Coturnix japonica: one gene and its partners. The protein of the gene in region 3 interacts with the protein of the main gene of each other region in a biochemical or structural test. Links are inferred from orthologs where the notes say so. Each region holds a gene or a part of one and is shown on either strand. Other genes may lie near its edges.

Evidence for each region.
Region 1: the proteins of MAP3K5 (region 3) and CIB1 form a complex in vitro, tested with the Homo sapiens proteins (2 studies listed by BioGRID and IntAct). The link is inferred for Coturnix japonica from reciprocal best matches to the Homo sapiens genes MAP3K5 and CIB1.
Region 2: of the proteins of MAP3K5 (region 3) and MAP2K6, one has a biochemical effect on the other in vitro, tested with the Homo sapiens proteins (8 studies listed by BioGRID, with this or other methods). The link is inferred for Coturnix japonica from reciprocal best matches to the Homo sapiens genes MAP3K5 and MAP2K6.

Annotation. Positions count from the first base shown.
Region 1 is NC_029525.1:18,186,888-18,194,304, forward strand, and holds CIB1 (calcium and integrin-binding protein 1), read right to left. Parts: upstream 4,369-7,417; 5' UTR 4,289-4,368; coding exon 4,238-4,288; intron 4,029-4,237; coding exon 3,994-4,028; intron 3,656-3,993; coding exon 3,553-3,655; intron 3,197-3,552; coding exon 3,043-3,196; intron 2,822-3,042; coding exon 2,703-2,821; intron 2,626-2,702; coding exon 2,537-2,625; intron 2,297-2,536; coding exon of another isoform or gene 2,275-2,296; exon of another isoform or gene 1,941-2,274; coding exon 1,868-1,940; 3' UTR 1,630-1,867; downstream 1-1,629. Other genes in the region: SEMA4B (semaphorin-4B), read left to right, coding at 1-58; GDPGP1 (GDP-D-glucose phosphorylase 1), read left to right, coding at 4,607-5,698; tubulin polyglutamylase TTLL6, read left to right, coding at 5,810-5,958, 6,402-6,442. UniProt on the Homo sapiens protein: Calcium-binding protein that plays a role in the regulation of numerous cellular processes, such as cell differentiation, cell division, cell proliferation, cell migration, thrombosis, angiogenesis, cardiac hypertrophy and apoptosis.
Region 2 is NC_029533.1:6,289,902-6,297,381, reverse strand, and holds the start of MAP2K6 (dual specificity mitogen-activated protein kinase kinase 6), read left to right. Parts: upstream 1-3,112; 5' UTR 3,113-3,438; coding exon 3,439-3,454; intron 3,455-7,480. UniProt on the Homo sapiens protein: Dual specificity protein kinase which acts as an essential component of the MAP kinase signal transduction pathway.
Region 3 is NC_029518.1:49,742,867-49,749,682, reverse strand, and holds part of MAP3K5 (mitogen-activated protein kinase kinase kinase 5), read right to left. Parts: intron 6,536-6,816; coding exon 6,429-6,535; intron 4,801-6,428; coding exon 4,630-4,800; intron 1,287-4,629; coding exon 1,174-1,286; intron 1-1,173. UniProt on the Homo sapiens protein: Serine/threonine kinase which acts as an essential component of the MAP kinase signal transduction pathway. Plays an important role in the cascades of cellular responses evoked by changes in the environment.

The DNA of each region.
Region 1 (7,417 bases), on a different chromosome or scaffold from region 3:
CGCCTGCCAAAGACCCCGCGTGCGCCTGGGCTCCGAGATCCAGGACTCGGTGGTGTGAGGGCACAGACGGCCTTCGCGCACCACCTCTGCTCTGCTGAGCCTCGCCGGCTGGGATCGGTGTTTGTCTGTGTGTGCATGCCCGGAGCCCGGCCCCGCCGCGCCGCCCACCCTGCTGAGGGGGGTCCTGGGCACCACCTCGGGATGGGGCCGGCAGAGGGTACCGCACGCCCACAGGGATGGTTGGACTTTCCCCAGCCCCGTGCTGGCACAGCCCCGTCTATGCAGAGGGCTGGGGGCGGCCACAGCCCCCTCATGCCCTGACTCACTGTGACGTCCCGCTGGGGGCCCAGTGCCGTGTGTACGGCCGGGTGGTGCTGGTGCGTGGTGGCCCCGTGGATGTGGTGTGTGTCTGTGCTCAGTTCGTTTTTAATACGTTGGAAATGTGAATTGTGTCCTGGGGAGGGAGCGGACAGCGGTGCTCACCCTGTGCCGGGATGGAGCTCCGTGCTGCGTATCTCATGTCCCCAACGTGCGTGTGCAGAAACGTCTGTGGTTTTTACCTAAAGTCCAGGTGTTTCCTTTGTACATGTGTGTGCTGCTGCGCCTGCAAGTGTGGGACCAGGGCCCCTTCCCAGAGCTGGGCACATCCCGTTGGCTGGCTCCTGTGGGCCAGGCATGCACGGCCGTGTGCGGGGTGGGTGTGATGGTGCATGGGGCTGTGTGTGTGGCTGTGCCAGCATGCAGATCCAGAACAGCATCCCTGCGACCCCAGCGTAGGGTTTGCAGTGCTCTGCTGCTCTGAGGCCCCGCTTGAATGATGTAGAGAAGCAGCTCTAGAGCACAGTGCTGCTTATCTGCCTCGTGCCTGGGAAGCAGCAAGCTCTGCACCAAGGCAGCGTGCTGGGGCAGGATGCCGTGGGACCCGCACTGCCTCGCTCCTGCCAGGACAGTGTTCCCCACTTCCTGCCCAGCCTGTTCTGGGACATCAAAAAAGCCACCGGAGGCGTCGGCTGGTGCCGTGCCAGCAGACATGGCCCCGCAGGCTGCAGCAGGCAGATAAGCATCATCACTGCAGGGCAGCGAGCTGGAAGGGCCTGCACTGCTGGGAGCAAGCAGCCGGGACGTGAGAAACAGCTGCAAGCTGGGGCTGGGGATCCAGCAGCACCGGGCACTGCAGCCATCTCAGCATGGTGCTGTTAGGGAATGCTGCGGGCTCCCTGCACAGAGCGTTCCCAGATGGCAGCCAGCCAGCACCAGGCCCGCTGGATGAACAGACACAAAGGGCCCTTGCGCTGCCCACAGCAAAGGTACAGCTTGCTTGCCCTGGATTTCCTTTTGTGCCTCCTGTTAGAGAGCAGAGCTCTTTGTGCAGTGCCTGCTAAGCACGCTGGGAACGGCCTCTGGTTCTCCCAAGGAGGGGGGGATCATGCAGCAAGCTGCTTCCCCAGCAGGACTAGGAGCTGCCTCCCTGCTGAACTGGGACCCCGTTCCCAAGAGCTGCAGCTGGCTCAGGGCAGGGGGCTGGCGGGGGGCCACATCCCCAGCACCCTCTTGGCAGTTGATGCTGCAGCGCTCACACCCCGCTCCTCCCCCCCGCGCGAGACAAAGGCCACTGGCAGCAGGACCAGGTTGGGGGTGAAACCAGAGCCCTTTATTTGTCCTCTCCAGCGCACAAAGGAAGGGGGCCAGGCCCTGCCTGCTCCAGGCAAAGCACTGGCTGAGCATGAGCCTAAGGCAGAGAGGAAAGAACTGGAAAGTGAGAACAGACCCTGAGTGTATTGGTGCTGGAGCAAGGAGCACAGCCCCCACGCCCCAGGGCAGCAAAGGGACAGCACTGCTGGGATGGCACATCCAAAGTTCAATTGGGTTATTGCTTGGAGGAACTGCTCCCCAGGGTGCAGGAAAGCCCCGTGGAAGAGCAGCAGAAGGCACATATGGTACTGTGGGTGGTGAGAGGGGCTGTGCTCGATGCAGTGCGGCATCTCTGTGCCTGCCCTGACACACCGCAGAGCTGTGCTTGTGTGGGGTGAAAATGTGCTGCTGGGACAGCCAAGCTGCTGCCTGCGGTGGAGCCTCACGGGGCCGTTTGGACACCTGTAACTGAGCCCACCAGGCACTGGGGGAGCAGAGTCCTGCCCTAGAGCACAGTGCGGCACTGCCAGGCTGGGGAGGAGCAGGGCCTTGGCTGCTCTCCTCAGAAGAAGAGGGAACATCTGAGATAACAAAGAGACGCGGCAGCTGGAGAAGCAGATCTGCAGGAGAGCCACAGGGCCCTCACAGGACAATCTTGAAGGAGCTGTAAGAGACACGACATGTTCTGCACCTCCTTGCTGCATGAGAAGTGGTTTGTGAGCAACCAGCACTCTGTGGATGTGCTGTGCTCCTGCATAGGTGAGTACAGTGCAGGAGGAAGTTCCTGTGGGAACTTCTAAGGGGTGGCCTTGCCTTGCTGCTCTGGTAAGTGCTGCCTCAAAGCCAGCACAGCAGCAGGGTGGGCTGACCCCTGGGGCCCCTTGAGCTGCTGGAAGCCACGTACCTGACAAAGTCTGGGGAGCGGGAGATGACGTGCTGGAACTCAGAGAGGTTGATGGTCCCATCCTTGTCTATGTCAGACTCCTCCAGGACCTGCAGGACAGGCAGTGAGCAGTGAGCTCACCAGGGCTGGGACCATGCAGCGCTCCCTGCCCAGCTCGGGTCCTCACATTACGGATGAGCTGCTCCATCTCAGTGTTACTCAGCCGTGACTCCTCGCCTTGCCCTGTCAGGCAGTTCACCAGCTTCTCCAGGTCCTTTCTGTCCAGGACCCCATCATCGTCAAAGTCTTTGGGCAGAAGAAAGTACCTTTCTGTGGGGCCCCCGTGACTCAGGTCACAGGCACCCACGCTGGGAGGGGGCTGGGACAACACGTGGGCACGGCAGCTCCAAGTACAGAGGGTGCCCCCAAAGCTGCCCCGTGGGCACAATGAAGGCACTGCCAGCCCTTGTCGCCTGTCCCCCGCCATTGGGTGGGATCCCAGGACACCACATCACACCCAGGGTTACCAAAGATGCGGAAGGCGTAGTGGGATTTGATATCTGAGGTGGCAGCATCACTGAAGACGCTCAGCATGTCGAGGAAGTCTTCGAAGGACATGCTGTCATCCCTGTCCAGGGACGTGGAGAACACGTGGCAGATCCGGTGCTGGAAGGGGTTTGCCTGCAGAGATGGGGAGGGCTCAGTGCAGGGCGGGCACTGACCCACGAGGAGCTGAGCAGAGCTGAGCTCTGATCTCGGCCCAGCACAGCCCTGCCATCACACGGGGCTGTGCCATCACACGGGGCTGTGCCACCACACGGGGCTGTGCCATCACACGGGGCTGTGCCACCCACGGGGCTGTGCCATCACACGGGGCTGTGCCATCACACGGGGCTGTGCCACCACACGGGGCTGTGTGGCTGCATTGCACAGGGCCGAGGAAGCAATCCCCGGTGCTGCACGGTGAGCACGGAGCGCTCCCAGCACGGTTTGTGCTCAGCAGGTGATCCTGCCCAGCCCCCCTCCAGGTACCGTACCCGCAGCTCCGGCAGCGTCAGGATCCGGCTCTTGGGAACGCGCACGGAGCGGGCGTTGTCCCTCTGCTCCCTGGGCAGCAGCTCACTGAACCTCTTGTAGGCACTTGAGGTGAAAACAAGGGCTGCTCTGTGCGGGAGCGGGCGGCCCCCGGCAGCACCGGCAGGTCCGGAGCCTCTGTCTCTGTCTCTGTCTGAGGTGAAAACAAGGGCTGCTCTGTGCGGGAGCGGGCGGCCCCCGGCAGCACCGGCAGGTCCGGAGCCTCTGTCTCTGTCTCTGTCTCTGTCTCTGTCTCTGTCTCTGTCTCTCTCGGACCGGGAGCCGCACCCGCGCACTTCGCACCCCGGGGTCACGGAAACGGCCCGTCCCGGCGCTGCCCGCCCACCCCCCAACGGGGAGCAGCTGCCAGCGCTGAGCCCCCCCCGCCAAGCCCCGGCACTTACAGCAGGATCTCCTGCTTGTTCAGGAACGTCAGCTCCTGCGGGGAGAGCGCGGTCAGACGGGGGGACCCCGAGGGGAGCTGCTCCGCCCCGGACTCCTCCCGTTCCCCGGGTCCCACCGATCCGGGAGCTGCCCCAGACACGGGACCGCAGATTCCCCATCCCTCGGTCACCCCCCTCGGACCTCCGACAACGGGGCTCCCCCCAACCTGGGACTCCAGCCCCAATACCTCGTACCCCCCCACACCTGGTACTCCCCCAGCGCCTCCCGTGGCAGCAAACTGCTGGAGCCCCCCATGTCGCCGGCGCCGCTTCCGCCCCGCACGTCACTCCGCCGCTCCCGTGGCAACGTCCCGCCCCGGGGTGGGAACACGCTGCACGCAGCGCCGCCCCCGGCCCCGCGCGGCACCGCTGGGAGCGGAGGTGGGTGGTGTGACGGGGTGTAATGGGGTGTAATGGGGTGTAATGGGGTGTAATGGGGTGGGGGATCGTCGGGACCCGGGGCCGGGGCACAGCGAGCGCGGCGGGACGGACGCTGGGGGCGGAGGGCGGCGCTGGGGGCGGCGGTCAAGTCGTGCACGCGTTCCGTTTTGTCAGGTCCCAGGCGGCACCGGGCATGGCAGTGCGGGACAGCGGGCACCGGGACGGGCTCGGAGCCGAGGAGTTCGTGTACCACGAGGATGAGTTCATCCTGGACGGCGTGGCGTGGCCGAGCACGGCGCTGTCCCGCTTCGACCGGGCGCTGCTGGAGGCCTGGCAGGAGCGCGAGGAGCGGGGCCTGTTCCGGTACCGGCTGCGGGAGCCGCCCACCCGCGTGCTGCCCGGCCCCATGCGCCTGCTGGCCCAGCTCAACGTGCAGCGCGCCACGTTGCGCCGCCGGCCGCAGGAGGTTCGCAGCGTGACGGAGCCGTTCAGCGCCCGGCACTTCAACTTCACGCAGATCCAGCCCGGGGAGCTGCTGCTGCGGCTGCGCCGGGGAACATCGACACACGGAGACCGAGCGGCCCCGGCCGAGCTGCTGGTGGCGATTAACGTCAGCCCGCTGCTGCGCGGCCACGTGCTGCTGCTGCCGGAGCCGGGGCTGTTCCTGCCGCAGCGCCTCACCCCGGAGCTGCTGCTGGCGGGGCTGCAGCTCGTGCTGCTCAGCGCCCGGCCCGGCTTCCGCGTGGGCTTCAACAGCCTGGGCGCCTCGGCGTCCGTCAACCACCTGCACCTGCACGGCCTGGACCTGCCGCACCCGCTGCTGGTGGAGTCGGCTCCGGCCGAGCCGCTCCGTGACCGTCTCCATGTGCTGTGGCGGGTCCCGGCCCCGGCGCTGCTGTTCTACACCCCGGGCGCGGGGCTGGACGCGCTGGACGCTCTGGCCCGTGACGCGTGTCGGGTGTCGGAGCGGCTGCTGGCGCTGGGCCTGGCCTACAACGTGTTCGTGACGCGGGGCGCCCCGCCGGACGGCTCGGCCGGGCCCGGTCCCGGTTCGGGGCTGCGGCTGCTGCTGTGGCCCCGCAGGCCGAACTTCGAGCCCGAGGCGGATGACGCGGTGCTGGCCGTGGCGCTGTGTGAGCTGGCCGGGTTCCTCCCGCTGCGCTCGGCCGCGGCCTTCGAGCGACTGAGCGAGGCCGAAGCGCTGCGCGCCATCCGACAGCCCCTGCTGCCGGAACCGGAAATGCGCCGCCTCGCCGCCGACCTGGCGCGGCTGCTGGAGGACTGAGCGCCGCTCTAGCCGACCAATGGCGAACGCGGACACGTGACCGGCCCGGCGCCGCTCTAGCCGGCCGGGCCGAGCTCTCTATGGTCGAGCGGAGACCGCTGCCTCGTCGCCATGGGAACGGCGGCGGGCTCGAGCGGCGCCATGGAGGCCGGGGGCGGCGGGCGGGGGGCGGCAGCTCGGAGCGGATCCGCTGCCCCCGGGATGGAGCCCAGAGCTGCCGCCTGCAGCCCCAGAGCGCGGAAGAAACGCAAGAAGTGCAGGCGAGTGCGGCGGGGGGGGCGGCCCGTGTCCGTCCGTGTCCGTCCGTGTATCCGCCCGCGTGTGCCCGGTGCGGGCCGTGCCGCACATAAAGCCCGGCCGTGTGCGCAGCGCCGTCATGTGTCTGTTGTGGGTCCGGGGCCTCGTGCCCGGGGGTGGCCGGGACTGTAACCAACGGAACCGGGATCCGACGGGGCTCAGAGCACGAGGGGGATGGAAATAAATAACACCGAGGGTGGAAATAACCCCGAGGGTGGGGCAGCCCCCAGAGCACGGACACGGGCTCGGGACCCACTTGGCACGTGGCCCATGGCAGTGGGTCACACTGGGCAGTGACACTGCGGGGTTTGGGTAACACGAGTGTGGCACGAGGCAGCTGTTCGTGTCCGCTCCCCTTTGTCGCCGTCTGGTCTCACTGAGCAGCTCTTGTGTCTTTCAATTCCAGCGCCCCATCCATTAACCTGACCAGCTGCAGGTACGAGAGCGGTAAGTCGCAGGATGCGTCGCGTCCCTTTGGATCGAGCCGTGCAGGCGGCTGCTCAGCCAGCAAGGAGCGCTGCATTTCTGCTGCAGAGTCACTTGTGTGTTACGTGTTTGTAAGTGACTTGAATCCCTGTGAACATTCTACACTTTGGGCTGAGGAGCTTCATGCTTTAAAGAGACCCAAACTGTGCAGCACTGCGAGCCCTCATCACCCTGTACATCTGTATGACCCACATTCCTGCTAAAATTGGTGAGAAGAGTTTTGCCAGAGATGGTTACAATGCACGACCTGTGCTTAGGGAAATGGAAAGCTACCATCAGTTCAAGCTGAAGCAGGTGGTGCAGCAGGCTGGATCAGTGCCTGCAGTATCTCTTTGATATTCACCTCCAATGACATGCTCTAGGTGGCTGCTCCACGCTCCTGTCTCGCTCTTCATTGCTGCCACAAGCCCTTTCTCAAAAGAACAATTTGATGGATGTCATTAGTCAATTTGCTAATGACTATCCTAGCATTACTGCCATGTTTGCATCGCTAAAGGTCACAGTCTTGTCAGCTGTGTGAGGAATGCTGTTCCCACCCAGAGCAACACGTGTTTCCCCTGCGGCCATGCTCAGGCACATTGGGGATGGGAGGTGGATGACGATCCACGACAGAGCGTGGCAATGTGAGCTCCATAGGAACCAGAACAGTTTCTTGCCCACCTCCAGAGCTCTGGTGCCCAGGGCTGCTCTCTGTGGTGCTGCTGTGCTGTGCTTGGTCAGCCCAGAATGAGCAACGAGTCAACAACACATGGTGGCTGGGTTGTGATAGAGGAGGGCTCTAACAGCCTCAATAGCATGTGGGCTGTTGGGCAGTTTGGGCCACGTGGCTGTGGGTGTGTGGAAAGATGGAGGTTTCTGACTTAGAGCTGCCCTTGCGTTTTCTGACTGCCTCCAGTTTCATAGCATGGTTCCTTCAGCAGCTCCCCAGCTCTGTAA
Region 2 (7,480 bases), on a different chromosome or scaffold from region 3:
CTCAGCCCCGCAGAGCATCGCAGAACCCGCATCCCCTTCTACCCCTCTATACAACAAACACCAAACACACCGCAATAAACAAACACCATTTGCTACACAGAAGCGGCGGACACAGGTGCAAGAAAACTCCTCCTCTTCCTTCCTTTTCTTTTTTCTCCCCTTCCTTTTTTCCCCCCCCATTTAATATATATATATATTTCTTCCTCCTTTCCTCACCTCCCCCTCATTCCGCCTTACCCTTCCGCACCTCGAGGCCGCTCCCCCGGTGTTATCACCGTCTCTCCGTACCTGCGGTACCCAGCGAACCGACCCGGCCCAGCCCGGGGACGCAACGTGGGGCCGGGCAACCCGGAGCTACCGCCCCGGGGAGGAGCTGGAGGAACGGAACCACCCCACAGGGCTGGAGATGGAGCAGGGAGGGAGTTCGGGATAAGGGGTGGAGTTTGTGGGTGGGGGGAGTTTTGATGGGAGGGGGTGGTTGTGCGTGGGGGTGGGGTCTCAGGTGGAGGGGTTGGGGATGGATGGGGTCCTAGATGGGAGGGTTCTTGATAGGAGTATTCGGGATGGGGGTGTTCTCGATAGGCTCTGATGGTGGGAGGGGGGAATCTTGGATGGAGGGGTTTGGATAGGGGGGGTCTAATTGGGGGGTTCTGATTTGAAGAGTTCTGGAGAGGAGATCCTGAATGGGGGGTTGTGGGTGGGGGTCCCCCCTTGGAGCTTCATGGCAGAGTGGGAACCCCCATAACAGCCCCAGTGTTGAGCTCCCTGTCTGCTTCTGGAACTTTCTGTCGTTTTATTGCATGATCAGGAACAGAACAAAAGCACTGAAAATGTCACTCAGAGCAGCAGCTCCCAGCACTGTACCTTTATTTGTGTGCCAGTATGATACTTAGCACAAGGCACAGATTGGAACTACACACCTCTGTATCTCTGCATCTCTGCATGTGCATATTGACATATCGACATACCTTTATATATGTATATCTATACATCTATGCCTTATTGGTGATAAGCTGATATGTCTTGCAAAAGAAGGGAAGGGAAAGGAATGGAAGAGCAATAAATTCAAGTGTTCTATTTAAATAATGCCTGCAGTTTTCTTTAACAAAGAGTGAGTAAATAAAGGGCATCATATCTTGAGCTTCAACAAGAAGAATGAACTTCTTATCATCATCCAATGAGCATCAAACTGCACAGAAGTCTGGAGCTGAGTTCTGGTCACTTTGGTGTTTGTTGTGGTCTCTTTTCATACTTAATTCGAAGTGCTCCTCATTATGTCCTACCTGCAGAGCTCAGAACTGCAGCTCAGGCAATGGGGGGAGGGATTGGCCCAGGGAGTGGTGGGGTCACTGCCCCTGCACTTGGTCCAGACATAGAGATGTGACACTGAGGGATGTGGTCAGTGGGCACAGTGAGGGTGGGCTGGGGTTGGGCTTGGAGAGGTCTTTTCAAACCTCCATGATTCGATGATTCTGTTATTATTTCTTTGGTTATTGATTTGTGAGCATGTTTTGCACACTGGCCTCGGACACTTCTATGTGCTGCAGGTTGTCGTGGGGCACTGACCCCTCTGCACATTGAGTGCCACAGCACTGGATGTAGTGTTCCCCTGTTTCTCCCTCCCACGTAAGCTCTGGGGTGGGAAAACTCTCAGCACGAGAGCAAAAATGATGGAGAAGCAAGTGGCAGAAGCAGAGCAGACAAAAGACACAGTGTGGCTGAGCCCAGAGGCTTTCAGCCTGCTCACAGCTTGCAGTTCCCTTTAATTTAGGGAACAAAGGAACACGGGGTATCGCCCGGCACCATTCAGGCCGTGGGGAGCAGATGGCCGAGCTCACGCTCATTGTTTCTCACCTCCTCTCTCCAAAAGCATTTTTCTCCTCCTCGGCATCTGCAGCACTGTTTGGCTCCATCTCCTTCCCTGCTGAACAGCCCTTTTGCCCCATTAGAAGCATTTCCCACAGGGCCCTCAATGTGCTCTGCATCTTCTGCTGGGTGGGATGCAACCCAGCAGCAGGAGGTGATGCATTCAGGACGTGATGATGTATTCAGGTGATGATGCATTCAGGAGGTGATGCATTTACCTGACCCCGAGGTGTCCATAATAGAAACACAGCGGGGAAGCAACCGCTGCAAGAGGAGACTCACAGAGGGGAAAGCAGGAAGGCTCCCCAGTGCCCCAAGCAAAGCACGGCCTGCAAACAAATGCACACTTCAGTGCAAATCTATGATATGATTATCAAGTTTTTAACAACAATAAGGGCAGGCACAGATTTTGGAATCAGAGCATTTTGTTCAGCCTTATGGACTCCAACTTTTGCACAGGGCGCACCTCAAGCTCCTCCTGCAGCTCTGTGCCATTCCAGAGCCCATCTCTTTGTTTTGCTACAACGTTTGCTCTCTGCATTTAATTGCTGCACAGCAAAGCGAGGTGCTTCGCTGTAAACAAACCAGCAGCCAGCAACTCACGTCAAAATAAATAAATAAATAAATAAATGAATAAATAAATCGCTTAAAAGACCTCAGGAGACAAATGGCCTTTTTCTTTTTTCTTTTTTTTTTGCACAGCTTGGAAGGGCTGCGGGTGGGAGGAGGAGACAGAGGCAGGGATGCAGGCAGAGATGGATGCAGGGATGCACAGAGTGGTGGATTAAAAGGATTCACATAGGGATGACAGGCAGGGATGCACATAGGGATGCACATAGAGGTGGAGGCAGGGATGCAAGCAAGGATGTGTGCAGGGATGCGTGTGGAAATATGCGTTGAGGATTGAAGTAAGAGATGCACAGAGGGACTGATGGAAGGATGCATGCTGGGGTGAGGGCAGGGCTGCATGGAAGTGCATCTCCTTCCATGCAGAAATGCATGGAAGGTGAAGGAAGAGATGCACGGAGAGATGCAAACAGGGATGTATGCGAGGGTGCACCCCCATTGATATTTGGGATTGGGGGGGGGTGCAAAAACCCAACCCCTTTATAACCCCCCCCCCCCAATATCGCGCAGCCTCCGCTCCGCTCCGTGCAGCAGCGCCCCCTGCAGGCGAACGCCGGCGTCTGCAGGGACTACAGCACCCATAGGGGAGCGCGGCGGACCGTCGGCAGCGCGACTGCGCACTGCGCCCCCGAGCTCCAAGTTTGGAGCTGCGAGCTGCCAGCCCTGGCCCATCATGTAGGTGCAGCAGAGCCTTCCCCAGCACTGCAAGCAGGGGGGGGGGGGAAAGGAAAAACCCCCCGCTCTGCAAAGCTGCCCTGCAAAGTGTGCAATTTGCACGGCCCCCCCCCTTGCTGCAAGGAGAGCTGCTGCAGCGAGAGTCAGGAAAACTCCAGTTGCATGAAGATTGAGAGCTTGCAGTTTGCATCTTTGTTGCAAAACTAGCTCCAGAAGAGAGGCAAGGCAAAGTCTTTTGTGCTCCCCTCCCCCATCAAAGCAAAGGGGAAAATGTCTCAGTCGAGAGGTAAGGCTCCTACTTCTGTTCGTTGCAAATATGCAAGAAGCCGTGCATGCATTTTGCAGTGCATGCATGCATTTTGTCGGGATGCAATTGCATTTTGAAGTTTGAGGCTTTCAATGGCTCTCAGTTGCATTTCCTGTTTAGTATGTGCCTTTTTGCAGCCACACACACACTCACACACACAGTTCCTGTAAGGCAGGGCTCGCACTTCAGCTGTGCATTGACGTTATTTGAATTCTTCTGCGGGCATTACGGAGCCCTTTCTGCCTTTTGCACAGTCAGGACAAGGAGAAGGGTGCGGAGGAGCAGATGCATATTCGCTGCCGTGTGGTGTGCATGCAAAAAATGGGCACGGTGCAGGAGAACCGCAGCTGATATTTGCAGCGCAAAAAAAAAAAAAATGAAATGAAACTTTTGCACAACTCCGGGGTTCTCGAGATGAAAGGTGAAACTCGAGCGAGGAGTTACCAGGAATTAAATATATACCTATGTTTCCATGGGAAAGTATTGTTCTGGTGCCAGGGCTGAGATCATTTTTCCACCGATCTCCCCCCCCCCCTCCCCTCCCCTCCCCTCCAAATAAGATGTGTAACTTTTGCAGCGTGCAGCGGGGCCGTGGGGTGCAGCGCTTTGATGGCTGCAGGGGGGGCTATGGGGGGGTATAGCAAAGCGTCTGCGAGGGGCATGGGGGGCGGTGAAAGGGGGGGGGTGGTATTGCAGAAATGCGGAGGGAATGCAATAGTCCCTGCATGGGGATTGCAATTGAGGCGCTGGGGGAGCTGCCGCTGTGGCCATTCATTGTGGAAATAATGCACATATATCAGCGAGAGGCCACGCAGATGCAGCTTTTGGAAGTGCGTGGATTTGCTGTTGCAATGCATTTTGCAGCCTGGGGGTGGTTGCAACCCCCCCCCCCCCGGGTTGACGTTGGGCTCACTTCGGGTCGTTTTGTGCTTTGCTCCTTTGGTGGCCTTTCCAGTGCTGGGGGGACATGGCAGCAGTTTTCCTTTGTAAGAAAAATGTAAAGTTGTTGTATAATTTATTCCTAATTTGGGTTTGCTGCAGTCATCTTTTCCAGGCAGGCAGGGAATTGTAAAAGTTTCCAATAGGACAAGCCAAGGGAGTTTGATAGGGCGGAATTGTGCAGGATGGGACCCGGAGCTGCTCGCTGGGGGTCCCAGTGCAAGGCAGGGGGTGAGTGGGGGACGGCTGCATGCTGGGGATACCCCCCAATAATAATGGGGAGGAAATGGAGCTGCTGACAGCAGGGACCCACAGGGATGTCCTGCAGCTCCAGTACCAGGAAAGTGGGAAAAAATGAGTGGGCAAGCCACAGTGTGGCCTCAGTGAATGGCACTGTTCTGCACTCTGCTGCCCATCCATGCTCTGCTCCCATCTGATGCTCTGCTGCTCATCTGATGCTGGAACCCCATGTGTAGCTGCTCTGTGTTCAGCCATTTGGTTTTGCAGGATTTGAGCTCAGAGGTTTGCTCCGCTCCTTAGGATGAACGGAACCAGCCCAAATCTGCATTTTGGAGCAGCTGTCTTGCATTGCACAGCAGGCTCCTTGTCAGCACTCTGCAGTGCTGTGCAGGGCTGCAGAAAGCTGCTGGGCTGCACAGCCCTTACCCAGCTTTGAACCTGCTCCAAAGTTGTTTGGCAGCAATGGATGTTTCAGTGCTCCCTCTCAAGGTGGGAACTGAGGGGCTGCTCTGCCACAGCTCTCCTCCCTGCAAAGCATCTCGCCTGGCTCCAGGCAGGAGCACTCTGCAGCCCCCACACCTGTGCAGTGCAGCGAGATCTACTTTTATATGGCCGTGAGTTCAGAAACAGCTCCTTCCTTCTGGCCCTTCCCATAGCAGAGAGCAGTGATGCTTTCAGCATCATCCCTGTGTTACACAGCCACGGTACCTGCTGGGCTCCTCAATGTTTTGTGGCCACCAAAGCACACCAGCACTGAGTTCCAAGTGCTGCTTTCCACTGCCTGCACATTTCTGCCATTCCTCTTTCAAGCTGCAAAGGGATATTTTGGGTTGGATGGAGGAACTGCAGCAGTTTGCTCCCACCTGTTGCACTGCTGAGACCTGGCCTGGAGTCCCATTGGGAGCAGTGGGGCCTTTGGCTGTCACCAATGGGATGATCTTCTGGAACAACTATATGGAAGGTCACGTTCACAGCAAGCTCAGCATGGTTTGATGCTGTAAATCTGAACCTTCGTGGCAGTGGATATGTTTGGGTGTCTTCCAAATGTATCGTGATGGGGAAGTATTCCCTGGAGAAGCCCATGTTGGAGAAGCACCTGCAAACACACAGCGTTCTGCCCAGAAATAAGGAAAGGAAGGGGAGCAGTTGCTATTAGAGCACTAATTATAAATACTTCATGGGCACAAACTCCACTTAACCACGAAATACGGCTGCACAATGATCTGCTTCCCACTTCTCACAGTTTGTTGCTTCAGATTCACCTTTCTGCTCTCCAGCTGCAAAGGGAACAGCAATAGTGAGAACCACGGCCCACGTGATGCTGCTGAACGCGTACCCTATGGACTTTGATCAAAGGCTCTGCACCTCTCCGCCGCGCTGCATTGCATGGAGAGCTCCCGTTTTCCACCTGGACATTACAACGGAAAGAATGCGAATCCAACATGGTGGACGTTTTCTTTTCCAAACAAAACCAAACAACAGCTGTGGGGAAGGCAGCAGCAGGTCTTTGCTCGTAGCGAATTGACCCATGAGCACCGCGTTGTGCAACGCGCAGTTGCTTCGTCAGCACCACCTCAGCGCTCCGTGTGTGCCATGACACAGGCACTTGGCATGGACTGAACAGGGCCGGGTCTGGCTGCAAACCAACCCATTTCAGCTCAAGTTGTATGGTGTTAGTTTGTTTTTTTTTTTAAAGAACTTGCTGAACGGCTATCTGACAATGCAAATTGCATTGACCCCATTGCATGACTCGTTTATGCCACTTTTTGTGATAGGATATGCCTGCGTTAAGCACTTTTGAGGGCTGGAGCACCTCTCCTATAAGGAAAGGTTGAGGGAAGCTGGGCTTGTTTAGCGTCTGATCTCAGCCAAACAACTGCACCGTGCAGCTGAGCAAGGGGGAAATTGTGCACCCTGCACCTCGTGGTGCTGCTCTGCTGCTCCCATGGCATTGCCCTGAGGATGGAGCTGCACCTTGGGGTGTGCTGCACCCATGTTCCTGCAGCATTGTTGCAGGAGGGCAATGCTCCCCGGGGCTCGGCGGGGACAGGAAACCATCAAGCATATAAAAAGCTTGAACTATATGAGCAATTATAGCAATAAAAGCGATACGTTGCAGTGGGAAAGGAGTAAAGCCACGGTTGTGGTTCTTCTTAGGTTTCTCACTACCACACCAAGTGGTGCTCGTTTGTTAACCTTCAGTTCCCAAAAAGCAGACCTTCCTTTGGGGTGAATTCCCTCCTGTGACACACACATTAGCTGCTAAGGTAAAACAAGTGATACTCAATTAAAACAGCAGGAGTAATTTAGGGAGCTGAGACTCTTCATCCTTCCAAGCATATTGGCGTCCATGGAACACAATTAGCATGGAAGTCACAAAGCAGACTCGTCCATTGCATGCTGTGGTTGCAGATGTATCAGATAACTAAGAAGTTGATTTGGTTGGCTTGTTTGGCCCCACGTGCAACCTTGTGCCAATGGGGAACATGGTAATGGCCCCAAAGGCAGCCTCATACCAGTAGTGTGCACTGGGTGATGGTTTGGCTGTGGCGTCACTGGGGATTGGAGAAAACTCAGGGCTGCTCTGCATGTTTCAGCCATGGCCAGAGCTATAATTACAAAAGTTGTTTCATTAGCTGCAGAGTTGCTTAGCTCCCTTCCTTAGGGCCTGGCTGGGAATAGTTTAAGAGATTAGCATTATCAGCTAGAGCAATGTTAGCACTAAAGCAGATCTAGGATCCTGGAGCTTTGCCATGCCAGATATATTCTGCAGCAGCAGAGCAGGAAAGGCCATTCAGTACCACTCCATACCCACTCACAGTGCAA
Region 3 (6,816 bases):
CCTTAATTTCGGTACCATTCTCCACACAAACAGATCAAGCATTGCACAAACTCACAAGAAGATTCCTACAAATAATACTTAACTCTGATCAGTATAATCAGTTCATCCAAATCCAGTCAGCCATAGCCTGCATACAATTGAAGTTTCTTCAGAATTGGAGGACTCAAATTAAACTACCCGATAAATATAGCTCAGATTCACTAAACTGCCCCTAATTTAAAGCTACACCAGCTAAATGAATATTTCCAAATGCCTCAGAGGAAGCAAAATGTGCATGCATACGATTTTGTTTTTTTTGTTTGGTTGGTTGTTTTATTTAACCACTTATGCTGCCACAAGAATTAAAATTTCAGTGTAGACTATGAAAGCATTCTATCCAATCCAAAAAGAAAAATCTTGTCCACTCAAATAAAGGCAAACACAGTTGGGGGCAACTCTACAGAGCCTACCACATCCAAATAATCACCTGCCTTAATCCCAGAAAATTTCAATTCCACTTCTATTATCCACATGAAAGCAATCATCTCTGAGCTTCAAGCTCAAAAAAATGTTCTTTATCTAGAAAACTATTTTCAGAGATACTCCACACACCTTACTTCTAAACCAGTTTGACTTTGCATTCTCTTCAAATACAGCAGACCCACCAATCAAAATCACAAAGTGGACCACCAAAGCTCAAAAAAACCTCAAAAACAGCATCTGAAGAGAAGTGTAGCTCTTTCTTCTCTTAACCTACCCCAATCTCAATCTAAGCGCATTCTGACCACTCAATTTTTTTTTGCCCGTATTTCCTATTGATCCGTAGGTGTTTTCTGTTTGTTTTATTTTTTTTATTATTTTTTTCCCCAGATCTGGACTCCCCCTTAAGGCGTTCCTTCCTTCTGGCTCTCAAAGAAAAAAAAAAAAAGACATCACTGCAAAAAAGGGCTGCCAGTTTTCACTAGGTTCTGATAACCTGTTAAGACCTTCATCCTGGAATCAGGTCATCATGACAGTGCTCACTCTCAGCCAGGTGGGATCAGTGGTGGTTGAGGACACTGACTTAGATGTTCACATACTCATTGTCGAAGAACTCATATGCAACCATCAGATTTTTTTCCCCCTTGTGACAATGGATCGTGTCGTACTTTCACTAGAAAGCAAGTTCACTATGAATTTGCAAGCTGTAATTACCAACTTTCCGAAGCTCAAAAGAAGTATCAAAGCAATGTCCAGCTGCCAGAAGAAGCACTGCATAATTGATTCCCGACTGCAGTGTTGGCTCTGACTCAAACGCCTTCTTGAACCTGGAAAAAAACAAACATACAAGTTTGCTTTCCAAATAACACAATCTAGTAGGGACATAATTATACTTTTAGGTTCTGTAGGTGCTTATCTTCTGTTTACATAGCAAGAATCCATGGAAACAAAAATATTGTTTTCTGTACGTGCTTTTTGTCTATTTTTAGGAATGACTTACTTACTTAAGAGTTAGTTACTTATATATGCATCCTCTTTCATTTTCCTTTACACAAGAACAGACCCTGGTTATCCACCCCAGCACAGTTAGTATCTTACTGGATTCACAGTTTTTCCACAGAGATAAAAAAAAATAGTATTATCAACTTTTAAAAGACCTGTTTCAGTTATATTTATTAATGGACTCTTTAATTTTCTCTTAAATGGAATCCTCTTATGGATTTTCACTAACTTGAGACTTTAGATCATGGATCTGCCCCAGTGACATAAGCATATCAAAATACATAAACACAGAAGCGAGTGACACACAAATGCCTCATTTCTGGCATGAGTACCCAAATTTCTCTATTTCAGTGACAAATACAGAACTTCAGATTTTATAAATAAAATAAACTTCTCCAATGTGCATCATCCAAAGGTGGAAACACGCATGCTGTCAACAATGTTAAACATATAGGCAAAGGAGGCAGAGATGAACTTAGGCATACAAAAAAAGCTATTGCCTGCAGAAGCAATTGATGAACAGCCCTCAAAAAACAATGCACTGATTTGAAAACAAAGCGTCGCGTACAGGCAACAAAAAAAGGCCATATTCCCTAACCACGGGGGATGGAGAAATTATTTCCTAGGATCAGAGAGATTATTTCTTCTGCTACACTCAGTCCTTGGCTTCTTTAAGCTTCAATTGACAAGTAGCATCCTCCGTGACATAATTTTTGCAACATGCACAAGAAAAAACAATAAGAATCAACAAGAAATTCACAGACAAAAATAAAAATGAAAAACTTGTAATTATTTCAACAAATGAAAATAACCACTTTCAATTAACATCCACTAACTGAACTTGTTTAAATTCAACAGGTGCAATTGGTGCACACTGACAAGCCCTACATGACACAGAAGGAATCAGTCTTGCAGAAAAGCAGTCAGGTTTAGAAGTCTTCCTCTAAAGATAGAGGTTGGCTTAGATAATTCCATTATAAGGGGCTCCAAAAAATTGAAAGCTGATATTTAGGAAAATGTTGCAATACAGACACTGAATAAGATGAGTAGCAGTAAAAGGATTTGAAAGAAGCATTGATAGCATTGGTGAGTTTGATTTACATTGTCAGTATGCAACAAGAAAGTGTCAGTTAACAATCAGACTTTCATTTCTTGTCTCATATTTTTTATCACAGATGCCTTTTACTCCACATTTCAGTTGTCAGAAAAATCACACTTCCTGCATTTATTTTTCTCTAACAGCACAAAGTACCCTGACATCATTAGCTGTTGCAAAACTAACACTTTGGTTCTGCTGCCAAATTCCTATCTTATGCAATTCACTAAATTTCTCTAAGACAAAGATAATAAACTTTATCTCGACATAAACTAATACAATTGTGGAGGCATTCCCGCACACACCTTCTTCCGCCCCCGCTGAGGCCAGGGTGCAGCACTGGTAGTAGCTTTGCTCCCAGCCAAGGGCCACCAATTAGGTTATGGTTCAACCCTTCAGCCATATGAAGCCTGCCATATGACTGACACGAGTATTCAAATCAATATTCAACATAAAGTACATACAAAATGCAACTGGCGCACCCAGGACAGGTTCCAGTCAAATTCCAGATCATTTCAGTTTGGTCTTACTGACCAAAGACTTCAAGGATTATGGAAGAGCTGGCCTGTCAGTGTCCTACCCATGGCAAGAGCTGCATTTGTTCTCCTTCCCCCAAACTGTTATGACTGCAATCATTGCACCTCATGAAGGTAGATGAGCAACATGACTGACAGATGCATTTATTAAAAGCATGTTAAAACAGCTGTGTGAAACATCCTAGTAAGTAATTCTGCCTACTAAACACATAAACTCACCTGATTATGTTTGAAAATCTCAAAGTTTATCTGTTCTTAAAGCAGTACAAATGAGGAAAAAGCAAGATACACTATCACAGACGTAAGTTCATTTAATTTGTTTTGTCTATGGTGATGCCTAGTACCGGATAAGGACTACAGTTTACTTTTTGTATCAGCTAACATTAAACAAAACATTATTTTACAACTATTTTGAAAATTTCACAGGAGCTTTGGCTTAGATAAATTCTTTAATTCAAAATTATGAAATGGGAAGGGGGGGAAATAACATGCTGCATTCCTGCTATTGCAGTATATTTTAAGAGTCCAGTAAGCATTACAAAAGTGTAAAACATAACCAACAATTAGAAATTGTACGTGTATTCTATGACTGCAGATGGTGAATAATTATGTATTTCACCAAAGGCAACTCAAATCTGAAGGTTACTGAAAAAAAGTGAAACGAGAGAAGGAGAATCAAGCTTTCAGTTCTAAGCAATTACTTCAACAGTTAGCTGATGAACTCAAGAGCAGGACTAGGATTTGATATGGAGTATATGCACAAGTATTTACCTATATTCTCTTTCTGGACTGTAACGGAAAAAAACAGCTCACTCTGGCAAAAGTATCTAATGTTACAATTTCAAGTATGTTTCCTTTGGAAATTGAAGGCCTGACACTGACAAGAGACAGAAGAATTTTTTTTAATCTATTCCACATAAAAGTTGGCATTTTAGCACATTCCAAAGGAAAAAGAACGATCATTTTAGAGGCAAGTACCATAAGAATTTGTACTGTGGTCCACTGTAATACGCAGACATGGTATGGTGATGATGAGGTAATAAACCTTTTCTGAGCATGAGTTTATATTCTTCATCAGCAAGAAAGCCAAAAAAAAAAAAAAAAAAAAAGACAAAAATGGTACTTTCTACGCATCAGCACAGTTATACTTTAGAACCTTTAAGCATAGCTGGTAAATATCTACCAGGCTGCAGATACGCCTATTGATTCAAGCCTGAATAATATCTGGACCAGATTCCCAAATGTAATGCAGAAAACAAGAGAATTCACATTTGACAGAGAGGAGAAAGATAAGCTGTGATGAGGGCTACCTCAACTTCCAAGGCTCTGAAGAACTTATAGAGCTTCATGGAAGCTGACGTACAGACAACATAAGTCTCTCATTCTTTACAAGTAAGCGAGGCCCAGATTAGAAGACTTAGCATAACCATCAAGAACACAAAATATTTGGAATGAAAAAGAGTTGAAGTATGTTCTCATTAAAGGAATGTTTTCTAAAGCTAAGAAAAACACATAGACCAGGAAGACACTACTCACCAGAAGGTCCCTTTGTCTCTGCTTTCTGTATCTATGAACCCAGATTCCAAAAACATGTCCTTGTAAATGCGACCAACCAGGCAGTACATATCTGAGGCTACTTGATCTTCTTGTTCTACTAAAGGAATCATAATTTCTAGAGCTTTCTGTCTGTCCCCAGGCAGATTTCGTCTATTAAAAATAAATATTGCAATAAAAAATAATAGTGTTAACAAGGAATACCTTTTTGTGACCAATCTGAATATACAGTTATTCGTTTAAAGATTAAATACATGATTTTAAATAAAGATATGATTACAGACTAATATATAAATATATGTAAAATGCACTCCTAGGTGCAATGGATTATTTTATAAACATGTTTAAAACAAAGATTAAAAAACATCACTACCAAAAAAAACCTTCTTTATAAAAGCCCCCAAACATGTTTTCTCCCTCACGATCAGCTAGCGCAAAGCAGTAACAGCAGTAAGAATAGCTTTGAGAGCAATCCTTAGGGAGATCATGCAATACTTATTTATAAAAAGCAATGCAAAGGCTGCTCCAAAAGCACTGTCTCCTGTTTTCTCTTAAGATGGCTCATGATATCAGATGTTGCTGTTGGTGCTATGGCAGTAGAGGCTGAGCCTTCCCTCCAACATTCTGCTACATGTTGTTGCTGTGTGAAAGATGGCAGCAGAGGGGTAGTCTGACAGAATGGTATCTGACATGGAACTATAGCAAAGGGGTGCCAATGAACTCCCTCATGCAGAAACAATGGCACCCACCAACCTTTATTGACAGTTGTTGAACGTTGATGGAGACCAAACAGCAGATGTGAGCACAGTGAAACGGTGGGTGGTGTGTTTCAGCAGTGGTGACAGTGGGTCACCTCCACTGGTGCAGATTTTTTTACAAACATGGCATGGTGAAAATGCACAGCTAACAGTGATATTGAAAAATACTGTTTTGTAGCTGAGAATTTGCTCTATCAAACAGTGCTACTGAGCTATTTGTATCTGTTGTTCTTTCCATGGAAAACAATAGGAGGCATTACTTTTAGAGCAACCTACATATATCTGAGAATTGCACTGCCTGCTGACACTTGGTCTGCTCCTCTAAACATCAGAGGGCAATCTTTGCTGTGATAACACCAAGGGATCAGAAAATCTGCAATTTCCACTGGAAAATTCCCTCTTTAATGCCATCCTCAATTGCCAGTATTTCAGATTCCTGAGAAAAATCACAATATAAGCAAAAAAGCACAAGAGCCTAGCTCCCATTTAACTCAAAGAAGTGATGCATGTTGCTGTATGTGACACACTGCACATTATTTATTTATTTATTGGAGAATGTGAAAAAAAAAAAAAATGTGTACTGTAACACAGTAAATATGACTTCATGGAAGTTTTTCTCCTGTCTCCTGACAATAGGAGAACTCAGACTTGAATGAGAGGATGTCTAACTCAGCACAAATGCTACAATGCTGTCAGGCAATAGCGATGTTAAAAGTGTATTCTACTTTTACAGACTCAGACACTGAAGTGAAAAACTCAAATGCTGATGCAGATCTATGGAAAGACAAATAAATAAAAACAGACACTCACAGAGAAGGAAGAGGAAAGCAATTTGGCAGTATGAAAGGAAAAGGAAGCTCAAACTCATCATGAAGGTCAAGAGTCCCCAGAACTGCTACAGTGAGAACCCTAGACCTGTATACAAAGATTCCAGTAGGGACCTATAACCAGGATTATCAGCCACACATTGAGTTTGTGGTATTGATTTACTACTTGACAGTAGTAGGAAAGGTAGAGTCTTACCTGTTCAGTGCAAACGCATAATGTAACCTCACATGGTGGTGGGAAGCTAAGTCAAAAGTAGGCAGTTTTTCTAAAGTTTTCACCAGTTTCACAATGGAATCGTAATCCTTCCAAAAAGAAAGGAACAATGAAGTTTTAAGCAGCTGTACTGAAGTATGCCTATACAAACTCTTCTTTGAACTAAGGAGCTGGTATTTCATACCGGATCTTACATTCCTCACTCTGAAACTATAAATGGCTTGGCACTAAGAGTTGCAAATAAACAGAGCACTTAACACGATTTGGATTCCTGAACTGCTTAAATATACATACTGAAATTTCCCATTCCATGTTTCATAATACAAGTTAGCTTCAGGGCTGAACATATATCAGTGTTCATATCAGGTAG